Cricetulus griseus: one gene and its partner. The protein of the gene in region 2 interacts with the protein of the main gene of each other region in a pairwise test. Links are inferred from orthologs where the notes say so. Each region holds a gene or a part of one and is shown on either strand. Other genes may lie near its edges. The genes, in order: Fhl1 and Akap12.

The links.
Region 1: the proteins of Akap12 (region 2) and Fhl1 interact in binary tests that used the Homo sapiens proteins (3 or more experiments, as listed by UniProt). The link is inferred for Cricetulus griseus from reciprocal best matches to the Homo sapiens genes AKAP12 and FHL1.

Annotation. Positions count from the first base shown.
Region 1 is NC_048604.1:15,695,085-15,704,374, reverse strand, and holds the start of Fhl1 (four and a half LIM domains protein 1), read left to right. Parts: upstream 1-4,675; 5' UTR 4,676-4,695; intron 4,696-5,327; exon of another isoform or gene 5,328-5,474; intron 5,475-5,648; exon of another isoform or gene 5,649-5,667; intron 5,668-9,290.
Region 2 is NC_048595.1:282,046,775-282,055,421, reverse strand, and holds the end of Akap12 (A-kinase anchor protein 12), read right to left. Parts: coding exon 5,438-8,647; 3' UTR 5,430-5,437; intron 3,621-5,429; exon of another isoform or gene 3,603-3,620; intron 3,526-3,602; 3' UTR 2,428-3,525; downstream 1-2,427. UniProt on the Homo sapiens protein: Anchoring protein that mediates the subcellular compartmentation of protein kinase A (PKA) and protein kinase C (PKC).

The DNA of each region.
Region 1 (9,290 bases), on a different chromosome or scaffold from region 2:
TTTAAATAGTCCAGACTTTGTGTTTTGGAAGCAATGGGTGGAAGGAGTCTAAATAAAATAAAATGAATCATATGTAGATAACTGTTAAGGAAAATGTTTGAAGCCACGTGGTAGTGGTCACATCTTTAATCCCAGCACTTGGGAGGAAGAGCCAGGCGGATCTCTGTGAGTTCAAGGCCAGCCTGGTCTACAGAGTGAGTTTCAGGGCAGCCGAGGCTGCAAGGAGAAATCCTGTCTCAAAAGAAAAGAAAAGAAAATGTTTGATGCGTGGAAGTTTATTATACTATTTTCTCTATTTCGCCTCTAGGAAATATCTTTAAAAGAACTTCCAGGTTCCAAGAAACTAGAGGGAGATATAAGCAAAAAAGACATGTTACGTTGTTCATCATTTTATGATGGAAATAGACACATGAAATTACCTGGTATGTCACCATTGTCTGCTGTGCTAATGGCATGATCCAAATGCCATGGGATCAGTGGATTCTGTCTGAGATGCTCAGGGGCAGTTTGGAAGAGGGAATGAGGCTTTACTATTTGAGAGGGAGGATTTAGCAGACTTTGTAATTTGATATGGACTCAAAAGTAATGGTATGTTTGATTTTGAATGCTGGGGGTGGCATGCCCACAATGGAGACAGAATATATAGGAGAAATAGATTGTGAAGGGGATTGGCACAGAGTTCAACTCTGGAGTTCCAGAGGCTGAGCTATTCTGAAAATGTAGAAATGGTGAGGAATTCACGGAAACAGTTCTAGCCAGAATGCACTTCAGTGATAAAAATATGGTGAGTAAAATGCACAGACTACATTTCACAGTCCCCCTAGTCTCCAGTTTGGTGCAGCAAAGTCTTTGAATGCATAGTATGGTTGGTTGGAGAGGTAGATGCACTCATTGACGTCATGTTGGTCTCCATCATTGCCATGGGGCTTGATGAACCTGAAATGGATCAAGTGTTTTAATTCTTAAGCTCTCTTGTGGAAAGGGATCATGATACTCAGGTATGACACTTTCAGAAAACCAATCACTTACCTGAAATAAGTAACCAACTGGGATTGGTAAAAAGTGATCAGCAGTCTTTCTTCTTTTGTTGTTTTGGAATTACAGTTTATTGGATTGTGAGCTCTATAGCCGCTGTGTTTTATTTTTAAATCTTGACTTCAAAGGTAATTATTCTCTGTAAGGTAGGAATCATAGCATCAAATATGAGAATAAATCAGATGGTGAATATAACTTTTCTCTCTCTCCCTCCCTCCCTCCTTCACTCTCACAGTGCAAGCCTCATGCTAGGCAGGTACTCTACCATGGAGCTATTTTCTTAGCCCTCTCTCTATCAGTACTTTTTGAAGAGAAGGCAAAGTACTTGATAGCTTTGTGTATTAAACGCTCCATATTTCCTTCCAACAGGCTTTAAGTTCTACTGAAATTGAATGCCTCCTGTAGATGGAAGCTTCTGTCCCACCTGGTCCTGCAGGTCCTGCAGCCATTCAGTCCCAAATGCACACACAGAGGCTTATAGTAATTATAAACTGTTTGCTCTATTGCTTAGGGTCATTACTCACAAACTCTTACAACTTAAATTAACCCATCATTCTTATCTTTGTTTAATCTCGGGAGTTGGTACCTTTCCTCAGTATGACATTCTCATATTGCTTCCTCTGCTTCTGGCCGGTGACTCCCTTTCCTCTTCCCAGAATTCTCCTTGTTTGGTAGCCCTGCTTATACTACCTCACTGGCCACTGGCCAATCAGCATTTTATTAATCCAATATGAGTGACAAATCTTTACAGTGAACAAGAGCACTATCCCACATCAACTCCTTTCCTTATGTCTATTACATTACTCAAAACCAAACCAAAACAAAGCCAAGCTTACTCAGTTCTGGGATTTATACTATCTGAATCTAGCCTATTCTATTTTTTTAATCTTCACATTTGAACATTACAAAAATGTTCTAACACAAACACTCCACTTGGACAACTCTTTTCCTTCTATCTTGCTTATTCAGCAACACTACCACAGTTCTTTAAGTGAAACAATGTGTTTCTGTGATCTCCAGAAATTGAATTCCAATGCAAGAAGATGAAGTGTTAAGAAGGCGGCAGGGTTGGCTTTGGGTGCAGATTTAGCTGGGGTGATGTGAGAGGTGGGGCCAGATGCCTGAGACCTCCAGGGAGATTGATGAATGTCTACAAGAATGAGGAGATTAGGAAAGAAAGAAGCAGGCTGCTGTGGGGCAGAGAGCTGGTGAGGGTCGAAGGAGGTCAGGAAAGAAGGAAGGGTGAAGAAATGAAAGGGAAGAAAGCGACAATTACTACCAATTGAGCAATGGGAGGTTCCCGAAGAAAGGCTCTGTTGGATCTCCGTGAGCTCGAGGCCAGCCTGGTCTACAGAGCGAGTTCCAGGACAGCCATAGCTACACAGAGAAACCCTGTCTGGAAAAAGAAAGAAGGAAGGAAGGAAAGGGAAGGGAAGGAAAGGAATACTAACTTCTGTCAGAAGACATATTCTAAAGGCAGGCACTTGTGCCCCTCCCATTTGGCTAGCAGGATAATGAAATAGTCACAATCTTCCCAGGAATCTCATGCTGGCTGAAGGGAAAGGTTGAAGGAGGAACCTGTTTTCCAAGAAGAGATTTCACACTGTTTCTTGACAACTTAAGGTCAGACTGCCTTGCAGGACATATTGGAGCTTAGTGGTGTGTCAGTGATAGGCCAGATCACACACAACCAGCTTAGCTACACACACTTCTTGCTCTCTATTCAATCCTAATCCTCATGCTAGATGGACTTGAGGGTCACTCGGCCTCTTTATTTGTTCCTCCTCTCAACGTGGCTACATAGAGTAAATCTCCTTCCTTTCTCTGCTTTTCACTATTTCTTGTGTCTTTAATTGGCATAAGCAGAGACAGGTGGTGGAGCCGATCTTGTTAGGACCGCCAGAGCCCAGGCTTTGATCCTAAAATCTCCAGTAACAGGCTCTCTGTCCGGAGCCGTCCAGAGCTTTCCATTGTGAGTGCTCTTGGCCATTTCTTTCTGGTTGAGCCCAGGGCTGGTATGCTGGGAGCTGCTTCAAGTGGAGCTAATTGTTCAGTGCTTTCCCATGAGGGCCTGGGGCAGATCTGCTTCTTTTCCTAAGCAATGTGCAGCAAGTCTTACTTTGCTAATCCAGAAATAGCAAACCCCAGTGATTCTAAGGGCTCAGAATGAGAAAAGAAGACTCAGCTCTGGGTAGCAAGGGGGGGGGAAAGCATTTTGCAACTATCTCTTGGCTCTCTGGGAAAAGAGGCCAGCACCTGGTTTATTTAATTTTTTTGTAATTTTTTATTAGTTCAAATTAGGAACAAGCTTGCTTCACATGGCAATCCCTCCTCCCTCTCCCTCCCCTTCTCCCTAACCCCCCAACCTCTCACCCGCCCCCCACCCCATCCAGCCTCCACTCCCCAGGCTGGGTAGGGCCCTCGACAGGGGATCCCCAAAGTCTACCACATCATCCTGGGCCGGGCCTAGGCCTCCCCCATGTGTCCAGGCCGAGACGTGGGATGGGCTCTCAAAGTCCCTTCTTACACCAGGGAAAAATAGTAATCCACTACCAGTGGCCCCCTAGAGTGTGAAGGCCTCCTCATTGACATCCCTGTTCAGGGGTCTGGATCAGTCCTGTACTGGCCTCCCCGACAGCAGTCTGGGATCCATGTGCTCCCCCTTGTTCAGGCCAGCTGATTCCGTGGGTTTCACCAGCCTGGTACCGACCCCTTTGATCTTCATTCCTCCCTCTCTGCAACTAGGTTCCAGAGTTCAGTTCAGTGTGTATCTGTGGGTGTCTGCCTCTGCTTCCGTCAGCCACTGGATGAGGGCTCTAGGATGGCATAAAAGTAGTCATTAGTCTCATTTTAGGGGAAGGGCATTTAGGTTATCCTCTCCACCATTGCCTAGATTGTCAGTTCGTGTCATCCTTGTAGATCTCTGGAAATCTCCCTAGCAGCACCTGGTTTATGAAGCATGGGGAAAACAGCAATGTTGAGACTGTTTGCTTGGCTTAAACACACAGCTGCTCCACCTCTCAGCAACATCTGCTTCTGCATAAAGGACCAATTCTCTCCTTCAATCCAGCCTTCATTTTGTAGCAAGACTTTGGACTCCTTCAATGAACCTTTCTCCTGCCTCACCAGATATCCCCTACAGGCTAGCCCCACCTTTCCAAGTCACAGCAGAAAATGAAAGTTTGCCTCCACCCTACTCATCCTCTTGGGTCATTTTCCTTTCCATCCCTCTTTACAAGGAAAGATTGCAAAGCAGTTTTCTTTAGTTCACCTGCAATTCTCTCAATATTCTTCTATCAACTCCTTCCACTTAAGTCCACTGGCATGATAGTTTTCTCCTGCATTTTTTTTTTTTGTCTCTGCTCCTTCTGTCTGGAAAGTTTTCCTTGGTTCTTTATATGGCGCTGCTTTTATAGCATCCAAAGCCTAGATTAAATGTCACCTTCTTACCCACATTACTTGCAACCCCGTCTTATCCTGCAGTTTATCCAAGTGTGATTATTTTCTCGCCTACTCATGTTTTCTTGCTCCGCTAGTAAGGCAGAGTGTGTGCACAACTGCACTGTATCTACAACATTTGGCACGGTACTTGGCACATGGTGAGGGCTCGCTGAACGGAAGGAGTGAAAGAACTAGTCACTACGTGAAGCTCTGCCTGTCGTAAGTGCTTTAGGAACGACGGAAAACCCTCTGGATACAGGCTCTTTGCCTTCTGTCCTGCATGCTAGTCAATGGCAGAGGTGATCAGTGGGTCTCTCAGCATGATGAAAACCAAGAGATCCGCAATCGCGGGCTGTGATGGGGTGTGCAGGTCAGCGAGGCCCCAGAGAGGCCAGAGGCCACCTTGGCTGCCTCTCTTTGTTGCTCCCACCTCCCGGGCTCTGGCCGCGGCTGCCTGCAGTGACTCGTGACTCCCCAGCAGCCCGCCGAGGCCTGCGCCCGCGAGGGAGGAGGCAGCAGTCGCCCCCAGCCCTCCCTCCGCGTGCCCTTTGGACGCTGGCGGCTGCTCAGGGAAGCGGCGCCACGGCGGGCTCGCGGCCACTTCCCGCGCGCACCCGTGCACGCCTCGCAGGCAGCAGCGGGCCTCTCCCGAGGCGCCCACGCAGCCCGCGCCCCCTTCCCGCGCTTGCCCGACCGGCTCCCGCCCCCCGCGAGTTTCCCCGCACCGCAGCCCCGCGCCACGGGCAGAGCCCAGGCGGACGCGCGCTCCGCCCTGCCCCGCCCCGCCCCGAGTGGCCGCGCCCGCCCCCTCCCGCCCCCGCGCGTGCTCCCTCCTTCCCTCCCACTCTCGTGCGCCCCTCCCCGCGCGCCCTACATCCACCGCCCGGCCGAGGGGGCTCAGTCCGCAGTCGCCACTGTCGCCGCCGAGCTTTGGCCACGGAGCTGGCAGCGGCCACCGGTGCCGCCTAGACAGCTGCACGGGTGAGCATCCCCAGAGAGTAAGCCCGCTTTCCCTCCGCGTGTGCGTGGGTGTGCGCCTCCCGCGTCCCTGGGGAGCCGCAGCTCAGTGCTCCGCGGCCGCCACTCCGGGGCTGCGCCGACCTGCAGGGCTCGGGTACCTGCGGCCTCCGGCCTCGGTGGCCTCGCCCACGCTGGGGGGCTGCGGAACCCGGGGCTCCAAGGTCCCTTAGGGTGCGTGCTTCGGCTCCCCCCCAAGGCTTTCGCTCCCCGGGTGGGGAGCGGGATTCGGAGGGGGGTGGCTCTGGGTCTCTCCTCTGCAAGGATGGACGGTGGGAGTAAAAAAGAGGGGGCTTTTGGTTTTCTCCCCCAGGATGGCGGGCAGTGGGGGTGGGGCGAGGTGGGGACACCTTTAGATTTTTTTTTAAAGGATAGCAGCAGTTGAGAGTAGCAGGGGATGATGATGACGATGGGGGGGGGTGCTTCACTGGGTTTCCATTAAGGATGGCGCCTGTTGGGCTGGAGAGGAAGGTGGGAACCTGCCTTGGCTCCTTCCACGGAGATGTTAAGGGAGCTGCGTGGTGGATTTGCCTTTGGGGATGCTGGGGGTGGCAGGAAGGGAGCGCAGGGAGAATAGTGAGGCAGGGAGAGGGCTGCTTGCAGCGCTTCTGCTCTCCAAGGGGAATGGCAGTGGTGTGGGGAATGGGGGTGGGGAGAGGGGACTGGATTTCAGCTCTAGCGTGGAAGCAAAAGGAAGGTTCTAGCACTTAGGTTCAGTCTTGGTTGAGCCTTGACAAGGTAGGTTAGGAAAACTGCTGGGTGTGACCTTTCTATTTCAGAAAAGCCTGAAATTCCCACTACATGCTGTCCTGGGCTATAGGGAAGAGGTTTCTGCTTCTGAAGTTCCCATTGCTTAGCCACTGATAATGCTGTGTATTATTTTCTGCATTTGGGCCTTTTGAGTTTCTCGGTCTCATTCTGATTACAAGGACCCCAACGACTAGGGAGGCACATTGGGAACAGGAGACAAGAAAGTGTATGAATGTGATTTCAGATTTGGTTTTTGAATTTCCTGAAGGGCAAGAGTGGGACAAATGTATTTGCTGGAAGTCCTCTGTACTCTTCATTTAAATTATGCCATAGGGACTATCTGAGCCTCCTTTGATTTGAATTTGGAATAGATCCAGTTTTCCTAATTGGAGCTATCATTTGGTAATTGCTTGTAATTCTCCATGTTATCAAATGTATTTCGAGTTTATAAAATACTGGGAATATTTTTGTTATCTTGATTAAGGCTGTTTAGTATAAATGTAATGGCCCTTGGAAATGAGAACATTTACAGAATAGCACAAGTTTAAATTCTGGGTCACGTGGAATTGGGTAAAGAGTTTCCATCCTCGTCCATCCCCAGTAACAGGCCGCTCCCCATTCCATACACTTGAAAAAACATCAAGGGACTGAGGTTGGTAGTTTTGTCTTTGGAAATTCATGCCCATATTTGCTTAAGAAAAATGTGCATTTAAAAACTGTGGGCCTTAAATGTGCTAGGACTATAATGTTTTCCCATCTTGGTTACATAAGGTTCCAATCTAGTCTACCTTCGGTCTTTAAAAACATGTATTTAACATTTTTAAGGGCAAATATGATCTTTATGCAACAGGAAATTTGTTAGATAGGCCATGATTTGTAGAAACCACCACACAAGTAAGTACACATTCTAATAGTACCATATAGATTCTGTAACTATTCATGGCTTTTGAAATTCTAGGCTTCCATTCCAATATTTAATTTTTTTAGAGAAGGAAAATATTTTTTTAAGCAAGTCTAGATTTGGGGATAAAAAAATGTAACATGCAAATTGGTAAAATTTCTTCTTTTATGAGTTCTTTGGAGATAATATGGTTAAATGAATTGATCACTTGAATAAGATATTGACTTTATTTATTGCAAATGTTAAAACTACATGTTTAAGTGGAAGTAGAGCATGGGTCTGCATGATTAACAAAAATGCATTTACTTATGCTATTGTGTACCATTCTAACATTTATGTGATGTGTGTTCCGCATCAATGCAGTAGTGAGAAAGAGCATTGTGTTCACAATATAATTTAAGCCTGGTGTTTTTTCCCTGAGGAATAAGAATGATGAAAATGGTAAAAAAAAAAAAAAAATCTCTTAAAAGGAGCAGTATGTTGGTGGGAAAATGGACCTTAAGTTTCTCTCTAAACAAAAGGAGCAAAGGGAGTCTTTACTTGGCTTTTTGAGAACCTGTTGTAAGATGGGAGGAAAAAAGATGGAAGAACTTTCAGAAATTAACAGTCTAGTGAAATAGTTGTTCTAAATAATCTTAAAGATTTGGCTAGTTATCTATTGGAAAAATAACTTGTAAATCAAGCCTTTGTGTGAGAAACTCAGCACCAGGCCTTCAGTTTGAATATTTCTTTATTTATTCATTTGTTGTAGTACTGGGGATGGAACCCAGGGCCTCACACATGCAGAGCAGGCGCCATTGTCATGGAACAACTTCCCTAGCCCAAGTTTAGACATTAAAAACAAATAATTTGTTGAAGGCATGGCAGCTAATCTCCTGAGGCTGTACCCTGTTTTCCTAATCTCTTCCTCCTGGTTCTTCTTTTCCCCCTTACCATCCCCCTTCCCCTCCCCCCCCCTCTGGTGCCAGCAACATTGGCTTTTATAACCTTGTGGGAGTTGAACAAATGTTCCTGCTTGCTTGAACTTTAGTCCTTATCTCGTTGGCTGCTTTCCTTAGCTTTTGTCTACACATTACTTGTTGTTGTTGTTGTTGTTAACTGAACTACCCAGTTGTTTGGATTTGGGATAAAAGGGAGTATATTGTTATTTTTTTCCTTAAGAGATTTTTTTCTATCAGCCCCTGTTGAACATAGCAAAAAGTTTCCCTCCTCCCCTCCCTCTCTCCTTCCCTCCCTCTCTCTTTCCCTCCCTCCCTCTGTTCCTCTCTCTGCCTCTGTCTCTCTCTGCCAGCACAGTGCCTAATTAAGTAGAATATATGACCATTCCATTCTTCAACAGACATTTACATAGTCAGCTCCTCACATGGAGGCTCTTGTACCTGGTGCCCAGATACCAAATATATAAGAAATACTTCCTGCCTTTCTGGTGTGATTATAGAAAGGTAAAGTATAGACAGTTAATCTATTGTGAATAATTAAGTTATATCTGGAGTCTTTTGACTATCCCCCTAGTAGCTGTGTATACGATAAACATTCTTCAGTCCTGCAAACAATGAAATCATTTCTTTCTAGTGACTTAGTCTGAGACATAGTTTTCATTTTGGGTAATATAATTAGCTTTGGATTTCAGCAATCAGCTGTTGAAAATATTTACAAAATGTCAATCTTTATTAAACATTTATAGACTTTTCTTTGTTGTATGAAAACTGCATAGCATTCATATGGTATTGAATATCATAAGTAATTTAAGATGATTTAATGTATATTAGAAAATGGTATAACTGATGTGCAAATACAATGTAATTTTATATGAAAAACTTGGTCATCTATGGATTTTGCTATCTATAGGTTCTGGAGCCATTCACCCATGGATATTGAGAGACTGTCTTATAGTCTATGGATTTTCTCTTTAAAAGTTTTTGTTATTATTATTATTTTGGAGGCTGACCTTCAACTCTTAATCCTCCTGCCTCTGCCTCCTGATTGCTGGCACGCCACCATGCCCATCTTTCTCTTTTTTAGTCAATATAGTTTTAAGTATTTATGAGGTACAGTGTGATAAGTTGATACATAGATATAATCTGTAAAGATATTTTCTATAAATTAAATGGAACATATCAGATTTACTGATGCTTAAATTCACCTT
Region 2 (8,647 bases):
AGGCATGAGCCCTCCCCCGCCCCCCCACACACACACCAGTCCTCAGAGAGTAAGTGCTCTTAACTGCTGAGCCTTCGCTCCAGCCCTAGAAGAGACCTTTAAAGGGTCATTTTTCTTTGGAAGTATGGCCACTGACATATTGCTCAAGCTCCGGTGGAGAGCCCCACATCCATGCACACACTGGAAGTACTAACTGAACTTAGTTATAAAAAGAATAGAAAATATACTTAAATCCCCAATCTTCCATCCACTGTAGCCAAGTCTCTTATCCTGTGGTCATCTTAGCCTCAACCTGTGTTGCCACTTGTCTCAACTTTGTCAGGCATAAAAAGTATAGATTAAGGCCGGGCGGTGGTGGTTCATGCCTTTAATCCCAGCACTTGGGAGGTAGAGGCAGGTGGGTTTCAGTGAGTTCGAGGCCAACCTGGTCTACAGAGGGAGTTCCAGGACAGTCAGTACTGTTAAACAGAGAAACCCTGTCTCGGAAAAAAAAAAAAAAAAGTATAGATTATACTATTATACTAATTTCAGGAGGTGACAGATATCCAGGAGTGTGCAGTGCTGGGAGACACTCATTTCCAGGATCCCAGGAGATAAGGTTGGGGCAGAGAAATGGTCTTATTAGACTGGCCTGGAACTTGCTCTGTAGTCCAGCATAGCCTGCATCTTCCTGCCCCTTCTCCTGAAATGCTGGGGTCGGAGGCATGCCCCATTAGAATTGAGAAAGGGGTTCCAATTCTTATCTAGTTAATAGTTGGTGTTTTACTTATTTTTCTATTGCTGTGAAGAGACACCAAGACCAAGGCAACTTAACAGAAGAGCTCATTTGTGCTTAAAATGTCAGAGCTTTAGTCCATGACCATCTAGGTGGGGAGCATGGCAGCAGGTGGGTAGACAAGCATAGGGCAATAGCTGATCACTTACATCTTGAGACACAACCACAAGGCAGAAAGCAACTGGGAATGGCATGTGTTTTTGAAACCTCAAAGTTCATCCTCTCGGTGACACACTTCCTCATCCCTCCCAACAGCCCCACCAACAAGGGATCAAGCATTCAAATATATGAGCCTATAGTGGGCCATTCTTCATTTTTTTTTTTTTTTTATTTTTTAGGTTTATTTATTTTGGTACAAGTGTTCTATCTGCATGTCTGCCTGCACACCAGAGAGGGCATCATATCTCACTACAGATGGTTGGGAGCCACCAACCATGTGGTTGCTGGGAATTGAACTCAGCCAATGCCCTTAAACTCTGAGTCATTCTTATTCAAAACACCACAGTTGGTATGTCAAGGGAAATCCACACTGACTATCCAGAAACTACGTAAAAATGTGTTTACCTGGGTTCTGCAGATAGAAGTCAGTTCACCAGAATTGCAAGGGAAGTGCCTTTACTATTTGTGGTGGTTTGAATAGGTATGGCCTCCGTAGATTCATGTGTTTGAATGCTTGGCCCATAGGGAGTGGTACTACTAGGAGCTGTGTGGCCTTGTTGGAGGAAGTGTGTTGCTGTGGAAGCGGGTTTTGAAGTCTCATATATGCTCAAGCTATGCCCTCTGTGGCACGGTCTCCTGTTGCCTGTGATTCAAGATGTAGAACTGTCCCTTCTCCAGAACCATGCCGCCATGATGAGAATGGACTACACCTTAAACTGTAAGCCATCCTCCATTAAATGGGACTGCCATGGTCATGGTGTCTCTTCACAGCAATAAAACCTTAGCTAAGACACGATTTGAGCCATTTTGCCAAGCCTTATTTTTTGAAATAAAGAATTTAAAAAGTCTCATTCTTAGCTAGTCTGAAACTTCAGCAATTCTCTTGCCTTGCCTTCTGAGTGCTGGGATTACAGGTATATGCCACAACCCCTGGTTCTACTGGTTTCCTTCAACAAAACCCCTCCCCATCATGGCTTCCTCAATGTGTCAAACCAGTGCAAAGTGACCTGATGTCTTCATGGGGTCATTGATAAGAAAGTCCCAGCTTCTCCCTCATTGTCTTTGCATTGTTAGTATTTTATTCTAACACTGTGCATGGGACCCAGGCCCCTTAGCACTTAATAAAAACCAGTGAATTGGGCTGGAGAGATGGCTCAGATGTTAACAGCACTGGCTGCTCTTCCAGAGGTCCTAAATTCAATTCCCAGCAACCACATGGTGGCTCACAACCATCCATAATGAGATTTGGTGACCTCTTCTGGTGAGCAACCATAAATGCAAGCAAATATTGTATTCATAATAAAACAGGATTTATTTAAAAACAAACAAAAAACAGTGAACCCAGCTGGGTAGCAGCAGCGCACATCTTTAATCCTAGCACTTGGAAGTCAGAGGCAGGTGGATCTTTGAGTTCAAGACCAGCCTGGAATATAGATAGAGAGTTTCAGGGAAAACCCTGTCACGGAAACAAAACAAACAAACAAAACCGTGAATCTAAGTGAAGCAAATATTTTATTTAAATCAGTTGTCAAACCACAATTTGTTCAAATGAACATAATGCAACATTGTTCTTAAAAGGGGCACAGATATCACAGACACACTCCAGTATCTATCAAAATACCATTTTATAAAGAATGGGACTCACTTGGTTCTGCTTACGAATTCAATCCAGGATATAAGAGTACAATCAAAAAAGTACAACAGATTTCCTTCTGCATGAGATGGAAAACCTATCACGGCCTTAGGCACACTCATCTGTCCACGTCATTAAGAGAAGGGACTTAATCTGCCACTAAGGAGACTGCTTTCCAACCTGAACTGGATTAGAAAGAAACACATCACAGTAATATTGGGACATTCTAGATGTTTCCAAATGGTGTTTTATTTCTGAGCTCCCTATGCGTAGGAAAACGACCACTTTCAGAGGACTACTAACCCATAAACCCAAGCTCAGTGACCTTTAAAATGACTTGTACCTTCCTCTCAGGAATGTTATTTCTCTATTTGCCACAGATTATAGTTGAGGCTCAGAGCTTCTCAAGGCTTCACTACAGCTGCACACCCGTCATATATTGTGTAATACAAAAGGCATGTGCTTAAACATTAGGAAAAAAAATATACAATAGGTACATGAGGAGGACTACAGAAAACATACATATAAATATATAGAGGAGGATGCTCCAGTTTGAGAAGTAGAACTAGGTATTGCCAACATTGATTCCAGGTTGAATGTAGGGACCTTCAATCAGAAATACATGGAATCAAGGGAAAAATCAAAGGCAGTCTTTAAACAAGGAAATGTTAGCTGGCTCTAGCTCCCGGTGAAGCCTCAGGATTGTCAGGGGTGCTCTCCAAGGTTGAAGTCAGCGGACAGCCCACTCTGAATCTCAAGGACTCAGCAATCTTGGTCTCAACAGCAGCATTTTTTTCCGTGGCTTGCCTTCACATTCTGGCCTTGCAGATATGAGTAACTGTAGGAGTAAGAAAGGAGAGAGAAATAAAGACCTCTTTTCCTGCCTCAATTTGTTGACGACACAACACAGCACAAGAGCTATGGGAATGGGGTGGTACACACCTTTAATCCCAGCACTCTGGAGGCAGAGGCAGGTGGATCTCTGTGAGTTCGAGGCCAGCCTGGTCTACAAAGTGAATTCTACGACAGGCTCCAAAGCTACACAGAGAAACCCTGTCTTGGAAAAAAAGAAAAAGAGGTTGGCTAGACAGCTCAGTAGCTAAAGGTGTTTGCTAGAACAGTGTGGAGACCTGAGTTCAACCCTCAGAAGGTGTCCTCTGACACACACACACACACACACACACACACACACACACACACACACACACACACGCGCGCCATAGCATAGGCACCCTATCCCACCCACATTATGTAGGCACCAACCCACGCAACCATCAAACATTTTTAAGGGCTAGAAAGATGGCACAGTGTATCTCCATACTGTTAACACACACACGATGGCATTATAGCCAAGGAATACTGACTTAGAATGTGCCCTGGATTCCAACCTCAACACCAACAGAAATGCATCTTACCAGAGCCAGATGTGGTGGTGGCTCATGCCTGTAATCTACTGACAGGAGACTGAAGGCAGGAGGATTACCTGGAGTTCAAGTCCAGCCTGGGCTACACAGTCTCTAAAAAACAAATAGGAAAGCTGGGCATGGTTGCGCACACCTTGTGATTCCAGCACTGGGGAGGCAGAGACAGGCATATCTCTGTGAGTTCAAGGCCAACCTGGTCTACAGAGTGAGTTCCAGGACAACTTCCAAAGCTACAGTGAAACCCTGTCTTAAAAAAGCAAAGGAAAAAAAAAAAAAGGAAGAAAGAAACAAACAAACATAAGAAAAGTCAGGTATGGTGGGACACTTGGCACTAGAGAAGTGCAAGATCAGAAATTGAAGGTCATCTGTGCCATCGTTAGCTACATAGCAAGCTCAAGGCCACCCTGGGCTAAAACAAAAGATAGCATGGTCCATATTGTGTCCCACTGCTATAAGGTTAATCAGCAGAGACACCTCCTCCCAGGCTCAGGTGCACTGCAAGCTAAAAAATGCTCATCAGTGCTGCTGGGAACTGGGCTGGGCTGGAGTCCATGCTTCTCCCAAATAGCTATAAACTAGTTTTGAAAAGAGGATTTTGATTTATGTGTCTTTGTGTGAGTACGAATATGGTCACAGAGGTATTAGGAGGCCAGAAGGTGGCTGAATTAGAGATGGAATTGCAGGTGGTTGGGAGCTGCCTGACATGTGTGTTGGGAATTGACCTCTTTTCCTCTACAAGGGCAGTATACATTCTTATATTTTTGGTTGTGAGCCTAGCCTTTAATGGCTGAGCCATCCCTCCAGCTCCCGGCAGTACACACTCTTAACCTCTCCAGGCCCTAAACTAAAATGTTAATAGTTTTGGCTGATCTAGGTATGGTGGCACACACCTTTAATCCCAGCATGGGAAGGAGAGGGACAGAAGCCACCAGCCTGGTTAACATGGTGAGTTCCGGGACAGTAAGGCCTACATAGTGAGACCCTGTCTCAAAGAAAAGAAAGAAGGAAAAAAAAAAGAGCAAAAGGAAGCCATTATTTTCATGACACCAGTAAGACTTGGTGGGATTCTGATGAAAAAAAAAGGGGGTGGGGTGGGGGGGCGGGGATGGAGAGATGGCTCAGTGCTTAAGAGTACCGTCTACGCTTTCAGAGGACCCAGGTTCAATTGCCAGCACCCACATGGTAGCTCACAACTGTCTATAACCCCAGTTCTAGAGGATCCGACACCCTCTCACAGGCAAAACATCAATGCGCATAAAAATAAATTTAAAACAAACAAACCCAAAAAATCTACCGTTGATAGATTACTTACTATCCTTACTCTAGTTGATAATTATTTCCAACTGAAGGTTCTGTATACAATCAGTTATTGCCATGTAATTGTATCAATGTGGGATGTGGGACAGGGAACCAACCTCCCAGAAGGAAGTTTACCTACCTAACATCTTAGGATTCTGCCAGGTCTCCCTCAGGCTCCCGTAGGTCCTCTTCTGTCTGGGGCTTCATCTCTTTGACTGACTCGGTGTGCGTTTTTCCTTCCTGAATCCCTACTTCCCGGGCATCTCCCTCCTCTGTTAGCTTTGGTCCATTGGCATCTGGAGACTCTTTGGTTAGATTTCCCAAGGCATCTGCCTCTGCCTGGGCTGAGCTTTGGTGTTGGAGGCCATCAGCAGCATGCCCCTTTAGATTTTTGGATTCAGGTGGCAGCTTCTCTACACTTTCTAATTTGGCACAATCATCACCTGGCACAGGCTTTGCTCCATTTCCATCTCCCTCTGCCCCGAGTGGGACAATCACCTGCTCACACTGCTGGTCTTTGATACTGACACTCTCAATTGCAAGCATATTGATCTTTTCTGAAGGCTTGCTCTTGCCTTCGGAAATATCAGAAAGGGCAAGCCCATCTTGGGCTGCAGCAGTCACTGCTTCATCTTGGGCGGAGTCTTGATGGCAGCTTTCTTCTTCATCCAGCATCTGTAGAGCTCCCTGGCTGTCAGCCTGCATCACCGGAACCTGGGTCTGTGAATCAGGAGCACAGATTGTGGGGGTTGTTTCGATGTGAGCGAACTGGTCCACGGCTGTCTGGATGATGTTCTCGACAAGCTTGGTGCTCTCACTCTGGAGCTCCAAGATCTCAGCTTCAACCTTGAGGCCTCCCTCCCTTGCTGCACTCTCCTGGTCATCTTCGTCCTCTGATCTCTGTTTCTGGGATGCACCTATCTCTCCCTGCAAGTCAGAATGTAGGGTGTTTTCAGGAGCCAGTGATACTATTACTGGGACAGACTCTGCCTGCTTCTCTGGTCCCGAGGGCACAATGTCCTCTCCATGCTGAGAAGTCCAGTGGTCACCCTTTTCAGAGGACATCTCTGCTGGTATTAAATGTGTACCCACACACTCCAGACTTCCATCTGTTTCTGAAGTCTTGACAGTTTCTGCAACCTCCCTCATGGATACAGCTGTTGGGGTTACTGGTGGGTCCAAGCTTTGAACTTGAACCTGTATGCAACCTGCCTCGTCTTGGTCTGGGAGAGTGGAGCTTCCTTCAAGGCTGCTCATTTCCTCTCCCCTCTCTGAGATGGACGCGTCAACGGTCTGGACAGGCTGTGGGTGGGCTTCTTCACACTCAGGAGAGGCCGCTCTCCTTTCAGGTTCTTCACTCGCTTGCTCTGGTTTTGTTTCCATTTTCTCCTTCTCAACATCAGTTCCCATCTCTCTCTCCTCCGGGTTAAGGCTCTGCGCTTCCACACACTCCTTTTCTTGACATTCAGGCTCTGTTATCTCCTCACCATCTTGTGTCACTTCAGCAATCTTTTCTCGACTGTCGGGGCCATCTGTGTGTACTGACACCTCCAGTCCTTCCACACAGAGTTCGTCTTTGACTCTTTCGCCATCAGAGTGGCTAGCCTCTTGACCCACCTCGGTCTTTGCCAGAACAGGTGCTGCTTCCATAGCAAGCTCTTGCTTCACTGGTTCTAGAACATCTCTTCCCGGTTTTTCCCCATATTCTTCCTGGGGTGGAAAATTGGGTGGCACTGAAGGTCCCTCCTTCTGAGCAAGAGCTGCTTCAGCCTCTGTGACCTGTGACTGCCTGTCAGTTGCAATGGCTTTACTGTCCTGGCTTTCAATGACCTCATCTTGCTGTGCCACATCTGGAGTGTCTGAATCTGCTAGGGGAGTGCTTCCGTTTGTCTCACTGTCTGTCAGGGTTTCGGATGACTCGGGGGCTACAACTTGATCCAACAGCTGCTGGGGCTCAATAGCCTGACATGTGGTGACTTGCTCCTTCAACTCTACACCCGCTGTGACTTCGGGAACTGCTTTGAGGCTATCTGGAGTACTCTGTCCAATCTCAGAGCCCCATGCAGAATGCTCAGCTTCACTTCCCTGCACGGGCTCTTCCAGCACAACGACATCTCGCTCTTTCTCCACAGCCAGCGCTTCAGAATCCTCTTCAACCTCCTCCACTTTCTCCAGTGCTTTCAGCCCCGCTCTCTGTACAGTCTGGGTGGCAGGCACTTGTGACTCCCCTTTTACCTTTTCTGCAACTGCCTGGAGGATGGCTTGTGTCTGCCGCTCCTGCTCTTCTCTGTCTGGCACACCACCCTCTACCTCCTGAACCGGGGTGGCTTCCTCTGTGGTGTCTGGAGAGTCGGTTAGTTGGGAAACCGCTGACACCATGTCTGTGGTCTCTTCTGCTCCCGATGCTTCAGTGACTTCTTCAGCATGGAGAGCCTCTGTGGTTTCTGCAGCTGTCACAGCTTCCGAGACGAATTCCACCTCGCTGATAACTGTGTCGTCATGGGCATCTTTGCCTTCTGGCAAGGTCTGGGTGGCCGTAGGGGTTTCTTTTGCAATGACATCTCTTTCAGTGACCTCCTTAGTGGAGGGTATGGCTTCGTCTTTGGCCTGTTCAGGAGGTTCTGTCACAGAAGCCGATATCCAAGAAGGAGACCGCTCTTCGGCACTGGTGACTGCCCTGGTCCCATCAATGACAGCCACACTGACAGTGTGAACCAGTGTCTTGCTAAGCTCCTCAGACACGTACAGGGCCCCCTGAAGCTGGGACCCTTCCTCACTCTCCTGAGCTTGCTGCGCGTCCATCTTCTCCCTTTCTACCGCATCATACTCAGACAGAGGCACAACAGCCGGGACATCAGGGTCATCTTCATTGACTTCTGTGGACGCCATGTCTTCAGCAGTGGCTTGTTCTTGCTTCCCATCCGGCCTTTTCTTCCGCCGTCCAGGGATAAATTTCTTAATGGAAACCCAAGATTCTTCTTTACTCAGCTCAACGTCTGAAGCCAATTGCTCTGTCCCGGAGTCTTCCGTTTTCTCCTCCAGCTTTGACTTGGATTTTTTTCTCGGAGTGACTAACCTTTTAAATGACTCCCAGGTGGAGACACCTTCCCCTTCAGAAGGGCTTCCAGCTGGCTCAGGCGAGGAACTTCCTTGCGCTTGGTCATGTTCCTGGGTGCTGCCGGGGACAGCATCTGCTCCAGCTTCTTTGTCTTTGCTGGCCTCTTCCACTCTGTGGCCATCCCCTCCCACTGTCCTCGGCCCTCCTTCGTCATCTGATGATGAGGCCTTCCTCGCTCTTTTCTTGGATGACCCCACGCAAATCAGTGCCTCCCAAGACACAGAGGTATCCACCTTGCG